2 linked regions of the Schizosaccharomyces pombe genome follow. The protein of the gene in region 1 interacts with the protein of each later gene in a biochemical or structural test. Each region holds a gene or a part of one and is shown in the gene's direction. Other genes may lie near its edges.

Region 1 (6,517 bases):
TATAATAATAATTGCATAAAATTTTCTTAACGAGGATTTTTACCGTTATATTATAGGAGTCCTTAATGTGGCTTTTTCAGCCTACGAAACTCATCAACTAGACAAGACCGTGTGATATTCCTGCTAAACAGTATGGCAGAGACCAAAGAGCAAACTGATGATGTCGAAACATTAATGGCATCATTGGATCAACTTGGCATGGAAGCAGATCCCACTTCCAAAGAGTTCAACAACGACGACTCCAAAATTGGTGCCCCATCTGAAGTGCAGGACGAAAAAGAACTGCTGGAATTTTTAGATCAGCTTGAGAATGACGAAGAAAAGAATGAGAAAAATCCTATAGAAGAGGCCAACGAGGAAAATGAATCTGTCGCAGCTACCTCGAATGAACGTCAGCAACATGATGCATCAAATCAACCGTCTCAAGCGGCTCAGACAACTATAAATAAAAATACAGAATCCGCTACTCCAAAAACGGTTAACGAAATCAACAAGTCCCAGGAGTTCCAAGAACATGTAGAAACACCCAAACAGAGCAACTGGCTTGGTGGGTTTTGGTCCACTGCGTCCGCTGCTGTTCGATCAGCTGAACAACGAGTTCGCTCCATAAAAGGGTTTGAAGAGAATGCCAACTGGGATATTAACGTGCGTAATATGGTGGACTTGAACAAGCTTGGTAAGTAGAATTTCTCTTTTGGAAGAAAGAGTTCCTTTTGCTAACAAATGTCTTTTAGGAGATTTGAGCAATGGAATAAGGAGTAAGGCCCTTCCCACATTAAGCAATACAATTCACAACGTTCTGAACGTGGTGGCACCTCCTATTCATGATCATGAAGTTTTGCAGGTGACGGTATTTCATGATCTAGCAGGATTTGCACACCTGGACCGTATAGTGTATGAAAGCTTTGAAAAAGTAAGTTGCGTATTTACGTTTACGCTTTGGACATAGCACTAATATTTGTGCTTTCTTTTATGCTGTCACCGATTACTTGGTTTTCAAAAGACAGATAGGTCAATGCATAATCATAATTAAGTTTTATGGGATAATTTTACTGACATGTTACCAGGTGATGTTCCAAGTAGAAGGAGGTGAATTAACGGTGTTATTGGATAAGGAAGCTAAGGTTCGACCCCGAACGAACGATGTCTATGAAGACTTTGGTCTATGTAATGGTTATTTGGAAGCGAAAAAACTTGCAAAAGCCAATTTAGCTGAACCTATTACGGAGGCTAAAAAGATGAACAAAGAAAACAAGCAAGAAAATGTTGGAGCTGGTGATGATGAAGACGCTTCAGAATCTCCTATGGTTCGAGTAACTCACTTACTTCTCGTAATCCAAGCATTTACTATCAAAAATAAAGAAGTTTCGGATGATGAGCAACTATGCTTTCTTATTCACCTTAACGATACTAATCATAACTTGGAGTTTTCTACCACTTCTCAACCTTTGCCGCTTGAATGGCAACGATGGGCTGTGGACCCTCGATACATTAAGCTTTTCGGTTCTAACGCCATATTACCAAATGAATGGGTAACAGAATGGGTGGAACAATCCATTTCTGTTGCAGCAGGTATTGTTGCCCAAATGTATACCTCAAAGCGTATGGCCCTTGGCGATCCTTCTCTTTTCGCTGGTTTACCGGAAGAAGATGTTAACACTGGTTCATCTGAAACTCCAGTTCCATATTATGACGGAGCCATGTATGCCTAATTGATTCAACTTTAATGAATTATGAACTTTTGATGCATTGTTTCGAATTTAAAAAAGGAAATAACAAATGAAACTACTTTCTTTGTGCCACATAATCGTAATAATATTGACGTGCTTTTCAATATGATAGAGCAATGTTAGAGTAGTGAGCGAAGAGACTTAAGCAGTAGCACAGCAACATGTGAATGTTTTTCGATGAGAGTGGGTATATACGCTTTAAAAATATCGGTACAAGAGAATTAAAACATTTACATTAGCTGCTGAAGAGAACACAGCTGTTAGAAACAAAGCAAACTATTTGATGAGATGGAAAGGTGGATTTTCTTCATCTGTTTACACTAGCATTTCATCTATTAGCGCTCTGTAACGTATTCTGTTATTTATTAATTGCAACATATTAGAGTGGGATCATAAGACGAACGTGACGATAAACTTAACGAGCCATTCATTAGGATGCAAAATAATGGGATTTAGCGAGTTTTAATGGGCTATCTTATTTACAAAGAGAAAAAGGGAAAGTAAAAGTATTTATGGACTAAGACATGTGCCCTTTTAGAAAAGTTTTATTTGAGTGCTAGCACACCTGTTGATGATGAATAAGACCAATTAAGTATCCGCCTCATTATCGCTTGTCTTTTACAGCTAGCTCATTTACGAAACTAGGTGGAAACAGGTAACTTCGTTGGCCCAAGCAGGTTGCTGAGCAAGGCAGCAATCATGTCATTAGACGAAATGTTGGTAAAAAAAAAGGTCACGATTGGATGTGAATTCCCAGGCAAAAGGTGATATGAAATCAGGCAAAACGCATTAATAAGCTATTTAACCTGATTTTTAACTATATACTGAGACAAGCAATAAATCTTACTACGCAGTTTCTTGTGTCACGTTAAAGGAATTGTTAATAATGAAGTGTGCGGTAAAGGCAATTATGTGTTGCTAATACTCTCGGTATAAGAAAATGCAAATCACAAAAGAGTAAAAAAATGGAAAGAAGCTTGAATTGCAAATCGTCTGTCTTTTTTGGTAGGTTGGCTGGTCGTTTTTTACTATTCTTTAGTCATCGTCGGTATTGGTTTTGCCATATGGTCGGGAGGTGGAAGAACTGAATGAAAGTTTTCAGACGCATTGCATCCGAACTGGAATACGCATTCAATTTTTTGAAAACGGGATCATTGCGGATTATTTCCTATTCCGCTTATTTCCATTGCTGGCTAGCTGACCGAATCGGTTTGGAATTGATGTATGTTTCCCTGTTTTGCTCGACATAACCTCATCTGCCAGCCACCTCCATATGCGCGATTATGACTTTTTGACAGTGAGTATATGGAAGACAAGAGTAGAATTGACGACATAGGGCGGGCGGGAAGGGCAGATGGGATAAGATTTAGTAAAAAGTAAGCTAATTGAATGAAGAATGCTTGATGAAGATGGCTGAAACTGTGATTTCACTACTTCGTAAATAAAGTCACACAGTCCGATAGTTGGCCAGAAAGACATATACACTCCCATAATACAAAGACACGAGCCAGATGCATCCTATAATTGGGAAATCGTAATAAAAAACATGTAACAAAGTACCTCTGTTTAATTATTGAAAAAGATTTATTCCTATTACTAAGGTACGCATTTTGTTGTGGTATACGCGTCTTTGTTTGTTTACATTTTGGTGGTGTGTTTACTTTCTCACTGCCCGCATCTAAAAATATTATCCGTTACCATTGAGGGGGTTGGTCGGTGTGGTAACGGTTACCCTTCTCAGCCTCCTCCAAAAATTGCCATGACGTGAAGAGACAGTTTTCCAGTATATATATGGAAGGCTGCTCCATGGGAGGTTCAGTTTTAACCATACACTAAGTACTTGTATCGTTCTTTGTACAAGCTTTTGCTGTTTAATTGAGCGAGCGGTTTTCATTTAAACATCTTTCTTTTTATTTCATTTAATATAAACAAATTAATTTCATTAATTTTCATCTTTTCTTTCTCATTTCTTTTAAGTAATCGTGAAAATGCTTGCTCGTGTCGGTACCACTTTATTCTTTCTTGCTAATGCACTTGCTGCTTATGCCGTCTCTGTCACTTCTCCTACTCGTGACACCACCTGGCAATCCGGCCAAGTGAACACCGTCACCTGGTCTTCTGTCAGCACTGATCCCGAGGAGATGGTTATTATGTTGGTGAACAATGCTCATTATCCCAACCAAAACTTTAATCTCGGAACTGTCCAATCCTCCGCTGGATCTTTGGATACCGACATCTCCATCTCTTCTGATCTCCCCACTGACGGATGGCAAATTTACTTCAACGGAGCTACTTCTCAAAACCAAGGTAGTTTGGCTCAATCTGAGCAATTCGACTTTGAAGGTAGTGATTCCACTTTGGCTGCTAGCACCATTAGCGGTGGTATTTACTCTTCTACCTCTGCTTCCTCCACTAGCTCTAGCACTGCCACCCCCTCTTCTAGCTCTACTACCTCTTCTTCTTCCTCTAGCAGCTCTTCTACCCCTATCTCCTCTAGCATCACCTCAAGCATCTCTTCTTCCGCTTCTTCCTCTGTTAGCTCCTCTTCTGCCAGCTCCAGTGGATCCATCTCTTCTGCCGATGCCAAGACCGTAAGTGCTAGCTCCAACTCCACTATTAGCGGATTTTCCACTTCTACCACTAGTGCTTCCAGCTCTGCCGCCGGTAACTCTAGCTCCTCTAGCTACACTTCTTATAGCGGTGCTGTTTCCAACGGCGTTGCACAACTCTCCGTTGCTGCTTGCATGGGTATTGCCGCTCTTATGCTTATTGCTTAAAGAAGCTGACAACCGAGTTGGCCTACTATGCTTCAACCTTCGAATTACCACAGAGAACCATTGAAACATATTTCGAAAAAAATATCTATCTAGTTCATCTACTCATCGCTACATATGAGGGGCGCATTATATTTTTAGTCTGTTTTTTTTTATCATTTAACTTGCGCCCTCTGTTTATACTGCTTTTTTTCATTCCTTTTCATATATTTGGCAAATCATTTGAAATCTATCTTTTCATCATCATTAGTCTGGTCATTTTGCTACTCTTTTATACTAAACGTTAGTTTTTTTTGTGCGCCTGATGGTTTCTAAAAAGTCACGCATGTCTTGTTCATAGCTGATCATCATCATCATATAGCAATTCCATTTCATTTCATATATTCTATACAGTTAGTTGTGTGTGTAGTTTCTGTAAACTGTTATAGTTCAAAGAATTAACTGAATTGTGAAGAAACGTTCTTTATGGTAATGCAAATTACTTTTACTTGTTCCTTCATTACAGTCATAAATCCATTTTTTGAAGTATGAATAAGCATATATATATGTATGTTTAAATTTGATCTAGTTTAGTGTGAGTTAGCGGAGGATTGATTTCACGATGGTGAGTAAAGTACTGTTTATAGATAATTACAAGCTGTTCATTATAAATCGTTGAAATCAAATATATCATTTAATCTAAGATGCAATTTTGCAACCATTCTGTTGTTAGCTGTAATACATTTACATATGCCACACATTCCAACCAAGCCGTCGGCCGTTTTCGCTCAAAATTTCTCGGACCTGTAGCTTATCGCTTTCTGAATCATGTAAAAAATATATCGGCCGCTTCTAGTAACATACTGTTGGAACATTACACCTAGTCTCTTATACTTCCTATTTTTGTTTATTCCTTCCTTCCTTCCTTCCTCAATTGTTACTGCAAACCCGAAAAAAATACTGTTACCTGTAAGACGATGTTGAATTTGTTTTGTGTTGAGAAAAGAGAGCAGTCACAAAATTTTGAAGGTAACATTTCTCATTAGTGCAAACTTGCGGGTTCGACGTTCCTTCTACAACCAAACACCAGCAGAAAATTATCACAAAATGTCTCGTGGACGCGGTGCTGCCTCTGGTACTAAGTATAGAATGACCTTGGGTCTTCCAGTTCAAGCCATTATGAACTGTGCTGATAACTCCGGTGCTAAGAACCTTTACATTGTCTCCGTTTTTGGTACTGGTGCTCGTCTTAACCGTCTCCCTGCTGCCAGTTGTGGTGGTAAGTAATATGTTTGATTAAAAGTGCAAAGTACAAAAGTTTTTGGCTTTAATTTCGAGTGAGAGTATGGCCTAAATTGGACGGTTGCGTATGAACTCGATTAAAAAGTTGGCTTTCTTTGCCTTGGTTTCAAGGCTCATTAGCAAAGCTAGAGTCATTTTGTATTTGATAATTTCTTATATGTGCTTTTTCTCTTCTTTTTCTTTTCCTTGCTTATGTTTGAGCGGAAAATTTTAAGATTGCCTTGCTAACGAAATTTTTTTAGATATGGTTCTTGCTACCGTCAAGAAGGGTAAGCCTGACTTGCGTAAGAAGATCATGCCTGCTATTGTTGTTCGTCAACGTAAGGCCTGGCGCCGTAAGGACGGTGTTTATCTTTACTTCGAAGATAACGCTGGTGTTATTGTCAACCCCAAGGGTGAAATGAAGGGTTCTGCTATCACTGGTCCCGTTGCTAAAGAATGTGCTGACCTCTGGCCTCGTATTGCTTCAAATGCTGGTACCGTTGTTTAGGAAAGAAAAACTAACCCCAATAAACAAATCATTTGTCCCTACCGTTTATCCTTCGTGTAAATTTGTAATGTTGTAGAATTCTTGTTTTTGTAGCTTATTGGTTTGATAGTCGTTCAATCAAAGAAAGTCGTATATGCACTTCAAAGTGTTTTATATACCAATTGCTTAAAGAGTTGCGGTACATTTTACTTACGTGTTTACTTGACCAACATACAAGTTTGGTGGAAAAAATTTCGTATCTC
Region 2 (9,280 bases), on another chromosome or scaffold:
AAAACTGTTACGTTTTATTTTACCTAATGTCTCTTGGCAATCTCTATCAATCATCGATGACAAGTATTGTGAAAGATGAAAGATGATTAGTAATGATCAATCTTGATATTTTAAAAATCTCTCCCATTCACTAATTTCTGGCTAATTAATTAACTCACTACACATCTAGTATATCGACGAGTATCCGGCTTTCGGGTATAAAAGAAGAGCATGAAATTCCACGAAAACAAACTTAACGAATCATTCATTAGCGATGCTACAAAACAATATACTGTTGGAGTTTGCCGCTCGGTAACAAGAAAATGGCATTCATAACAACGACCCATTCCAACCGTAATGGGCCATACTGAGTTTTTCTGTGGTTACTCAAAATCGTTGATCAAATTCATGGTAGCTGTTTCTTGATTCACTTTTACTCGGGACTTGTAAAGCCGATTTTCGGAAAAGTGTGATGAATAAATGACGCTGTCGGAAACAACTGGTATTTTTGGGTTGGCGAGTAGGTTATTTTCTACAAAACATACAAATAATACAATACATTGCTAGCAAAATCAATAGTGCATATATAGTACTAATAACAAAGAGTATTTAAAAAACAACATATCGATTTAGCAGAAAAAAATGGGAAGGAAGGTATTGAAATAGAGGATAGATGGCATGGCTCATTAAATGTAGGAAACCAAAGTAAGGATGACTGGTTTGAGATTATTTCCTTACATCCCGTAACATGCAAAAAAATGCAGCAATTTAACACGGTGGAGGGAAAGTATCGAATTTTTTTACTGGTAAATGTAATATATTGGATTGAAACAACTCCGCTTGCCATTATTAAATAAAAAATAATTCTTTTCGTTAACTAAAAAGTGAAATCAAAATTAATTTAAAAAAAAAGAAAAGTTAAAGGAATACTATGCTACCAATATTTCCCTCGAGTTTATATTGATAAAGCATTTAGCTAGGCTTACAAATAAGTTGCTTGCTTCATATATATCTTATTACCTGTTTGATAGTGAAAAACAATATTCAGCCCCAACGGTTCGGTTCCTTTTTGCTTAATTGTACTACCACACAACACAATACAAAGCTTAAATCCTGAACCTAGGAAATGGGTATGCGGTCCGTTCAACGAATGTTGAAGTTGCATCGTCCTAGATAATCCTAGGAGCAAAAGCTTTGATTGCTTGCTCAGCCTTTGCTATGAGAAAAAGGAGTCGATAACTTGAGAACACAGCGATCGGATTTCCCTTTAAAGATGGAAGATTCATTTGTTACATAAGAAATTCATGTCAAAATGATTTCTGTTTACACTGCGTTTTATAGATGTTACTATGTATAGCAAGATTAATTAACATGTTATTGTTATTTGTTATTATGTTTTTAATACTATGTATTTATAGCATCTGTAATGTCTGCGTTTTTCAACTGCCAAAGAGCGCATTTTCTACAAGTTTCGGTTAATGTTGCAAATAACCGATTAGACTTTCATGTCATGACACTTGATTTCACTTGTGCTGACGCTTTTTTATGAACGGCATATCGCTGTTCAGCTGCTTTACCGACATGTAATGGCCAAATCTCGAGCTTGACACTTTGTAAAAAGTCTCAATAATAATTCCCCATCCACAACTGACATACATAATTGATAGTACTTACTAGCCTTTACCCTTGCCAGCCAGACAGCTTCCACTGTACTGAGGTCAGGGATCATGACATAGACTGATTGCAAATTACGAACAAGACCGTCAATCTGCACTTTAGCATCTCCTAAAATAATAATCGTTAAAGCCGACTAGCTATTAGGGATGACGGGAGGAGCAAAAAAATAGCCTGAAAAAAGAAAAAGAAAAGAAAGCGTATTTAAAGAAAGGTTAAAATTTTCTTTGTTCTTTCAATAAGTAAGCAGTTTACTCCTGGTCCAGAAGTGCGACGGACCTTGCGTGCCGGTAAGGAAGTTGCAAAAAAAAAAAAAAAGGAAAAAAAGAACCGAGATAAAGTTGACTTTCAACTTCCGTCTGCAGTAACCGGATTTCCCAAAAATTTCAACGGGTAATTCAATTATGCAAGGGGATTGTCATTCTTTTTTTTACATTTTTGAGTTTCACGACACATTAGTCCCTTAATTGCAGCTACAACCATGCCTTGTTGCCTATTTTTTTCCTTTGCTTAATTACAATTTCTCACCCCATTTGAAGTCATGTTGATTGAATTTTTCACATCCCGTTTTCAAGCTCTAACATCAGTCATTGTAGATGATTGATTGTAGAAAATTATATTTGTTTCCTTTTCGCGACCATTAAATGATTATTCAATAGTTGATGAATTATTGCCTTTGTTGTTTTGTTACTCATCATGGCAATTTTATCGTATTATTTGTTACATAGATTATTGTCATCCACTAAATTTTTTGATGGCCAAGCGTCGCTGTTTGGACGAAATATTCGATTACCGAGGACGGATGGCCATAATCAAGACTAGTTTGGTAAGAGAATTTGGCAGATGGGCTGGACGACATTTGTTGAAAGTGTGAGAAACGCTTCTGAAAAGGCATGTTTTCTATATTTCATTTCTATTCTGGTAAAGAATTGTGCGGAATACTATACCATGGACAAATGGGGCGGGCGACAAGGCAGCTACAGTATAAGCGGGCATATAGCATTCATTGTATAATACAGTATATAGTACATGGTAGGTAGAGTTGGATAGAGATGGTGAGAATGACAGTTGCATTATTTATGCGTAAAACTATATGTAAATTTTATAACTATTTATGTAAACATGCGTTTATATATGTGTATGAGTGTGCATGCTTGTGTACATTTGTGTGTGTGTGTATGTGTGGTGTGTATTGATGTTTGAATGGTATGATGACAATGATAAGCCATTTCTTACGAAAACTCCTTAAGTGAATATGGTTGAGTTGAATGGAGCGGCATTTGAATGGTAAATGATTAGTGATCTAAATTAATGAAAATTCATTCAGCGCCTCTGCCTCTACGGCCATGGCGGTTTTCGTAGATCTCAGCCCTTCAGAGTAGCAAGCGTCTCTTACGCTATAGTTGGGTGACGGCTAGGTACGTTGCATACTGCGCACATGGTGTTGTGGAATGTGTATACTTTTTCATAGGAAGGAGGTGCCAAACGCAACGCGCCTGGATGGTGATTGTTGGGTTGTTCCCTCGTCCGGCCAATTTTTTCCAGCTATTTTATTTTAAGGATAGAATAACAATGATGTTGTTCCGGTCTCACAAACATGATTATCTCATGCAAATTTCACCTTTTCTAAGTGGCTTTACCAAAGAAAACGCAACTTATTATTATCCAAACTCTTGCTAATTCCTTTTTACTTTCTCCACATCCCTCGAATTGGCTTGAGGCTTTTTCTTTTATCCTTTCTATCCTCAATTACTAGTTTTCTTAGCAGTTGTATTATTAGGACATTGCTTTGTTGTTTTACCCCCCCCCCATTGGAATTACATTCTGTGGGATTGAAGGAAAGAAAAAGAAAATTGCTTATTAAGAGTCGTATATACTTCATTCTTCAATTTACTACACTCACTACTTGCTTTTCTCCATCTACGATCTACCATTTTGTTAGGTAGACTTTCGTACTACAGCTACATCGCTTGTCGTCGACTTTGTGTGCTTTTGAAAACTGCCCTGGTAATTGCCGATTCTTTTGGGGGTTATTTATACTTTTGTTTTATCCAAATTACTAATCCGCCTGATTTGGACATTGATCAATTTTGGTAGTAGCGCAATCGCACCCCCTCAAACACAAAAACCTCATCATTGTCTCATGGTACAATATTGCCTTGGAACATCATTACTTTAAAGCAATACGATTGATACAAAGGTTTCCGCTAGTTGTTGATTGAAGGTTTGGTGTTTATCGTTTTTTCGTGTTTGATTTGCCTTTACAGACCCTCCGTGTTCGGCATACTTATTCTCCGGTATTGTAGATATTTATTTCTCTCCGATACCTTTTTGCATTTGCTGTTTCTCTTTACTGTTGCACCCTACATTTGATTGAGAAAGGGGTTTAGTGGTTGTCGTCAATTGTCTTTATTCTGAGAAAACGGCTTTCTTCTCCCTGATATAAGAAACCATTTGGTTTGATAAATATATTTCAAGTTCACTTTCTCACTGTTTTCCGCTTCTTTGCTGATTTATCGTTTGATCGACGGCCTTGCAATTTTACAACGTCGAGAATTTTAACTTCTTTCTTCGTGATTGCATTCAAATTTTGAAACTCTTTCGAAGTAGGTGTACCAGTTAACTTGATTGCTCATTCTTCCTCCCATTCTCTGCTTCTTGATGAACTAGCTGTTCTGGTCCAACACCAATTGTCGAATGCTTGTCAGTTCAGTTCTATTGCTTTAATTCGTCCATTTTTTATTTTTATTTTTTAAATTCCGCCTTTCTATTTTGTTCTTACCCTTCGACGAGTCGAAAAAAAAGGTTTTTTATTGCTTTTGTCGCTTGGTGACTTCGAACAAGGAAACTTTTCCCCTTATTATTGTTTGAGAAACACTTATTTTCGGTGGTTGGTATCTCTTTTCATCATTTTTGCTTCTGGTTTTGCATAATTCTAAAAGATACTTATCCCTTTTTTCAGGTTTCGACGTCTTCTACCTCTTCACTTTACCAATTTGCTCGCATGACTTAGACGGAATCTTTTTATTGTAAAATGCATTCCTTAAAACGTCGTAGAAATCATGCGCCTGATTGGCAGGACTTTTATAAAAATGGTGTTCCACAAGAAGTCATTGTTATAGAGGACTCAGCTTCTCCACGGCTTACCCCTAATTTACCGCCTCCTTTTTCTGTTCATCAATTACAATCCTTCGTACCTCCGCAACCTCCCTCATCATCATCACCCTCTACCACTGGCACTGTGGCAGTCCCTATCAATGGTGCGAATGCTGTTTATCCATCAACTAACTCGGTATCTCTTCCTCAATCCTATGATCCATGGTTGGATGCTAATGGCGTCGTTCCATTACCGCATGATGTCGCCAGCCATCCTTCATATATGGTTCAGTCTCCTACATCGTATCATGCGTGTTCAAATAATCAATCGCCATTTCCCCATTCACATCATCCTCCCCTTCATAATCCACTACCTGTTTCATGTCAACCTGTTTTACGGCCGCCTCCTGTCCCTCAAGTTCCTTCACACTGGTACCCGGTTTCGCTTCCCTCTCCTAATTTACCTCACCAACCAATTTCTAAACCTCCAGTGATCCCTAATTTACCAAAGCTCCAAGTCCATCCGAACAGGCTTCCACATCCCATCCATAATCATCCTTACTCGTCTCCAACCTCTTATCCTCCCCCACTATGTCCTGCAACGTATTGTCCTTCTAACCCTCCTCAGCTAGCTCCGGCTACTGCTATCGCTCCTTCCTCGCAATCGTCTCAACATAAAAGTGTAAATTATTCCGTCACCCCAAGTTCCATTAACAATCATACCGCTGTACCATTATCTCCAACGCTGGCCGTATGGCTTCCGATGACTCAACCAACTTTCCAACCTCCTTCTGCAAACGTTTATCAACCGGCTTCTAATGCCAATCAAGTTATCACTCCTGTATCTATTTCCGATTATCGACCTCCGAAGAAAAGGAAGCGAGCTGCATGGCCCCCATATAAAAAAGTCGACCGCGTAAATGTTCCTGTTGTGCATGATACTACCGCTTTTGATCCATCAACTTTTGATGATGATGACGGTCATTACAAGGTTGTACCTAACTCCAAATTTGCCAACCGTTATACAGTTGTTCGTTTGCTTGGGCACGGTACTTTTGGCAAAGTTATCCAGTGTTACGATCAAAGTACAGGTAGACATTGTGCTATCAAGGTGACTCGAGCAATTCCAAAGTACAGAGAAGCTAGTCTCATTGAATTAAGAGTTTTACAAACTATAGCTCATAGTGATCCGACAAATGAAAATAAGTGCATTCAGTTACGCGATTATTTCGATTACCGCAAGCACATCTGCATTGTGACTGATCTTTTTGGCTGGAGTGTCTTTGATTTTTTAAAGAATAACAACTACATTCCTTTCCCTTTGAAGCATATTCAGATGCTATCCCAACAACTTTTTAAAAGTGTTGCGTTTCTTCACTCTTTGGGACTAGTACATACCGATCTTAAACCCGAAAATGTTCTTCTGGTATCTAATGCCTCAAGAACTATTCGATTACCTTATCGGAATTATTCACAGAAAGTCCTTAATAGTTGTGAAATCCGGCTTATCGACTTTGGTAGTGCAACATTTGAAGATGAATACCATTCCAGTGTAGTGAGTACTCGTCATTATCGTGCTCCAGAGATTATTTTAGGGTTGGGTTGGTCTTATCCTTGCGATGTTTGGAGTATTGGATGTATTTTAGTTGAGTTATTCACGGGACAAGCCTTGTTTCAAACCCATGAAGATAGTGAGCATCTGTGCATGATGGAAAAAATCCTGGGTCCCTTTGATAGGAATATGATTTCGCGTTCCTCTCGTACATCGCAACGTTTTTTTAAATCTGACGGAAAAGTCCGTTATCCTTTGTCAAATACGCCTAAAAAAAGCATTAATTATCTTCAATCTCTGCAAACGCTAGAGCAAATATTTGCAGTATCATCTCCAGAAGTGGCTTTGCTGCTTGATTTATTGAAAAAAGTATTCGTTTACGATCCTAAGCGGCGAATAACTGCAAAAGAGGCCCTTTGGCATCCCTTTTTCACCCAACCAATTTCTTCAAATTTGTGATGGATAAACTTAGAGATTTATAATTTACTTCATGTTTTTCAATAATTTTCACTCTTTCTAATTTACAAATCTACGGAAGTCTCGTATTTCTGGTTTGTGTTACGCTTTAGCTGATGTTTATTCGTTTGTTATTATTCAGTTTCTTAGACGAAAACTCGCATGTTCTACAATTACTTTAATTGCATAGAGTACTTGGTTATCCGATATAAATTAAAACTCAAAATTGTCCTCTTTTTAGATTATTCCATAAAGGTTTGATTAAGTCGTCAATTACACTCGTAAATTTTGGTCCTTGGGTTAAATAGTAGTTACTCAGTGAAATAAAAGAAAAAAAGATCATTAATGGTTTTCAGGACTATTTTAATAGATACGGATTACCTTGACAATTTTTTTGAAGTCTGAAGTATTTTGTTATGAACATAATTGTATAATGAAGAAAAGGTTTGCCCATTTCATTAAACAACAGAGATCACTTGCCTGAGACCCAATTTATATAATATGAGACAATAGCTCAAGTAGTTAGAACTTTAAAGGATCCGACTCCTCTTTTAAATTTTCCTCATTAAATAGATAAGCCAGAGGCTTTCCAAAATAACGAAACAATGAGATATCCGATATTTTAAGAGTCATTCCATCAAACGCCAAAGCTATATGTAAGTCTTCTGTCGAAATATCAATGTCTGGTAATTTGGGATATCGTTGGCTAAAATGAGTCAAAATAACGTTTTTTGTACCAGCTTTTTTGGCCACTTCTAAAGCTTCAGAGTAAGTACTGTGTTGCTTTTTTATTGCAATTTCGTGCATAGAGTCTTCCAAAGTAGCTTCGTGAATTAATAAAGTTGAGTCTTTGGCAATGTTAGCAAAATCCTCAGAAGGTCGAGTATCTCCAGAGTATGCGATCTTCCAACCACTGGAATTAGTAATCTCCATGCAATATGAATACGGGCAGTGTATGGCAGGAACCGTTCGAAAAGATACTAAATCAAATTCTTTAAATAAAGAAGACAACCTAGAGGATTCCAAAGCAGACGGCTTCCTGTCAGTACGTAAAGCACTATTGGAAATAAATACGATGTTGGATAATGGTAGATAATCAATCCTTGAGTATTCTAGTAGCCAAAATTCAAATTGTGGAGGTGCTGTTATAAACAACTTTGATCTGCCATCTGAGTACTTCGTCCAAGCCTTTAAAACCCCTATAACACCAGCATGATGGTCAGCATGCATATGGGAGATATAAATCCATCGTAAAGAAGCTATTTCGTATTTTAAATTGTCACCATACTGCCTCGATAGACGTCCCAAAGTGCCCTCTCCACAGTCCAAAAGTATGTTTTTCATACTGATAGCTGAGTCTTCCATACATTTTTTGTCAACGGGAATTCTAACGTAAGTAGATGAAACATTTCTGTATAAAGAAGGCATTGCAGATCCAGTGCCAAGAGTACAAATTTGGATGTCAGAACCTGCAAAGCTCGGTGCCTTTGGTTTATCACTAACATATTTTTGAGCTTCTTCAACAAATGATTTATAATCTGGTTTCTCTTTCAAAATTTTATCCTTCAACTCTTCAATCGAAACCCCAACTTCCGAATCGTCAATACCAGTTTTTTTTCCAAACGCAAAACGCAGTTTGGGTTTGGCAAAAGCAATTCGATTGTTTTTTTGTACATTTTTAACTTCATAGCAGTTAAAGCCTAAAGGAAAAACTTTTGAATCTAACAAATTAAGTGTTGCAATAGCGACTGCACTCCTAGGATAATTTATTACTTCGTTTACTTCAGTCGAAGCAATTAGATGGCTCACCTCACTTGGGAATGAAGAAATCCAGCTCTGATAACGTGGATTTTTGTATACTTCTGGTGTAACCGAATGAATGACACAAACAGGTTTAGGTGCATTTGTCCATTTATGATTTTCAATGACCAAGTCAATTACGAGTTCGTTGGGGCAATGAATAATAAAAAAGGAGGAGCCAGGAATAGAAGGACCAATCACTTCTTTTGGATATACTGTTTTTCCGTTTTCAAGAGTTACAGGTTCTCCTCGAGCGAGTCTACCACAGTCTAATCCTTTCGTGATACCAAGCGATTTTGCTTTTGCGGCGTCAAATTTCCCTGGGGTAGGATGGGATTGAACAATATAAGAAATAAACAGCTCTGGCTTGTCTGGTTCCAAAGGAGCCGGAGTGTTATACATTGCATTCTCAACGACGAATGATGTATCATTGGAAACGTGAGAATACCAATGAGGAGAAGTATTTGCTCTATCCTCTTTTAATGGTCTTGCATTTGTACCTCTGTTAATGTTTTCATGCTTCCTTTTTTTAAAAGAATTTTTAACTAGTGAAACAACTACCGGAGTTACACAAATATTTTCATCAACGAATACTGGGGCCTCAGCCGAAGTATATCCCTGTACCGTTAAATTTACATTCGTATGATAAGTGAAATGCCGCATCGAAGATAAAAACTGATGAACTTCACTAGGTCCATGAAGGACAAAAGGACTAGCTTCTCC

The links.
Region 2: of the proteins of knh2 (region 1) and lkh1, one has a biochemical effect on the other in vitro, tested with the Schizosaccharomyces pombe proteins (one large-scale study listed by BioGRID).

The regions. Positions count from the first base shown.
Region 1 is NC_003421.2:1,306,062-1,312,578, forward strand, and holds knh2 (conserved fungal cell surface protein, Kre9/Knh1 family, Knh2), read left to right. Parts: upstream 1-3,547; 5' UTR 3,548-3,718; coding exon 3,719-4,507; 3' UTR 4,508-4,886; downstream 4,887-6,517. Other genes in the region: SPOM_SPCC1322.09 (uncharacterized protein), read left to right, coding at 133-676, 735-913, 1,068-1,712; rpl2302 (60S ribosomal protein L23), read left to right, coding at 5,591-5,762, 6,028-6,275.
Region 2 is NC_003424.3:654,240-663,519, reverse strand, and holds lkh1 (dual-specificity), read left to right. Parts: upstream 1-3,342; 5' UTR 3,343-4,687; coding exon 4,688-6,760; 3' UTR 6,761-7,279; downstream 7,280-9,280. Other genes in the region: 3' tRNA-processing endonuclease tRNAse Z L2 Trz1, read right to left, coding at 7,280-9,280. UniProt on the Schizosaccharomyces pombe protein: Protein kinase that may act as a negative regulator of filamentous growth and flocculation. Appears to have a role in normal cell wall and septum formation and in cell separation.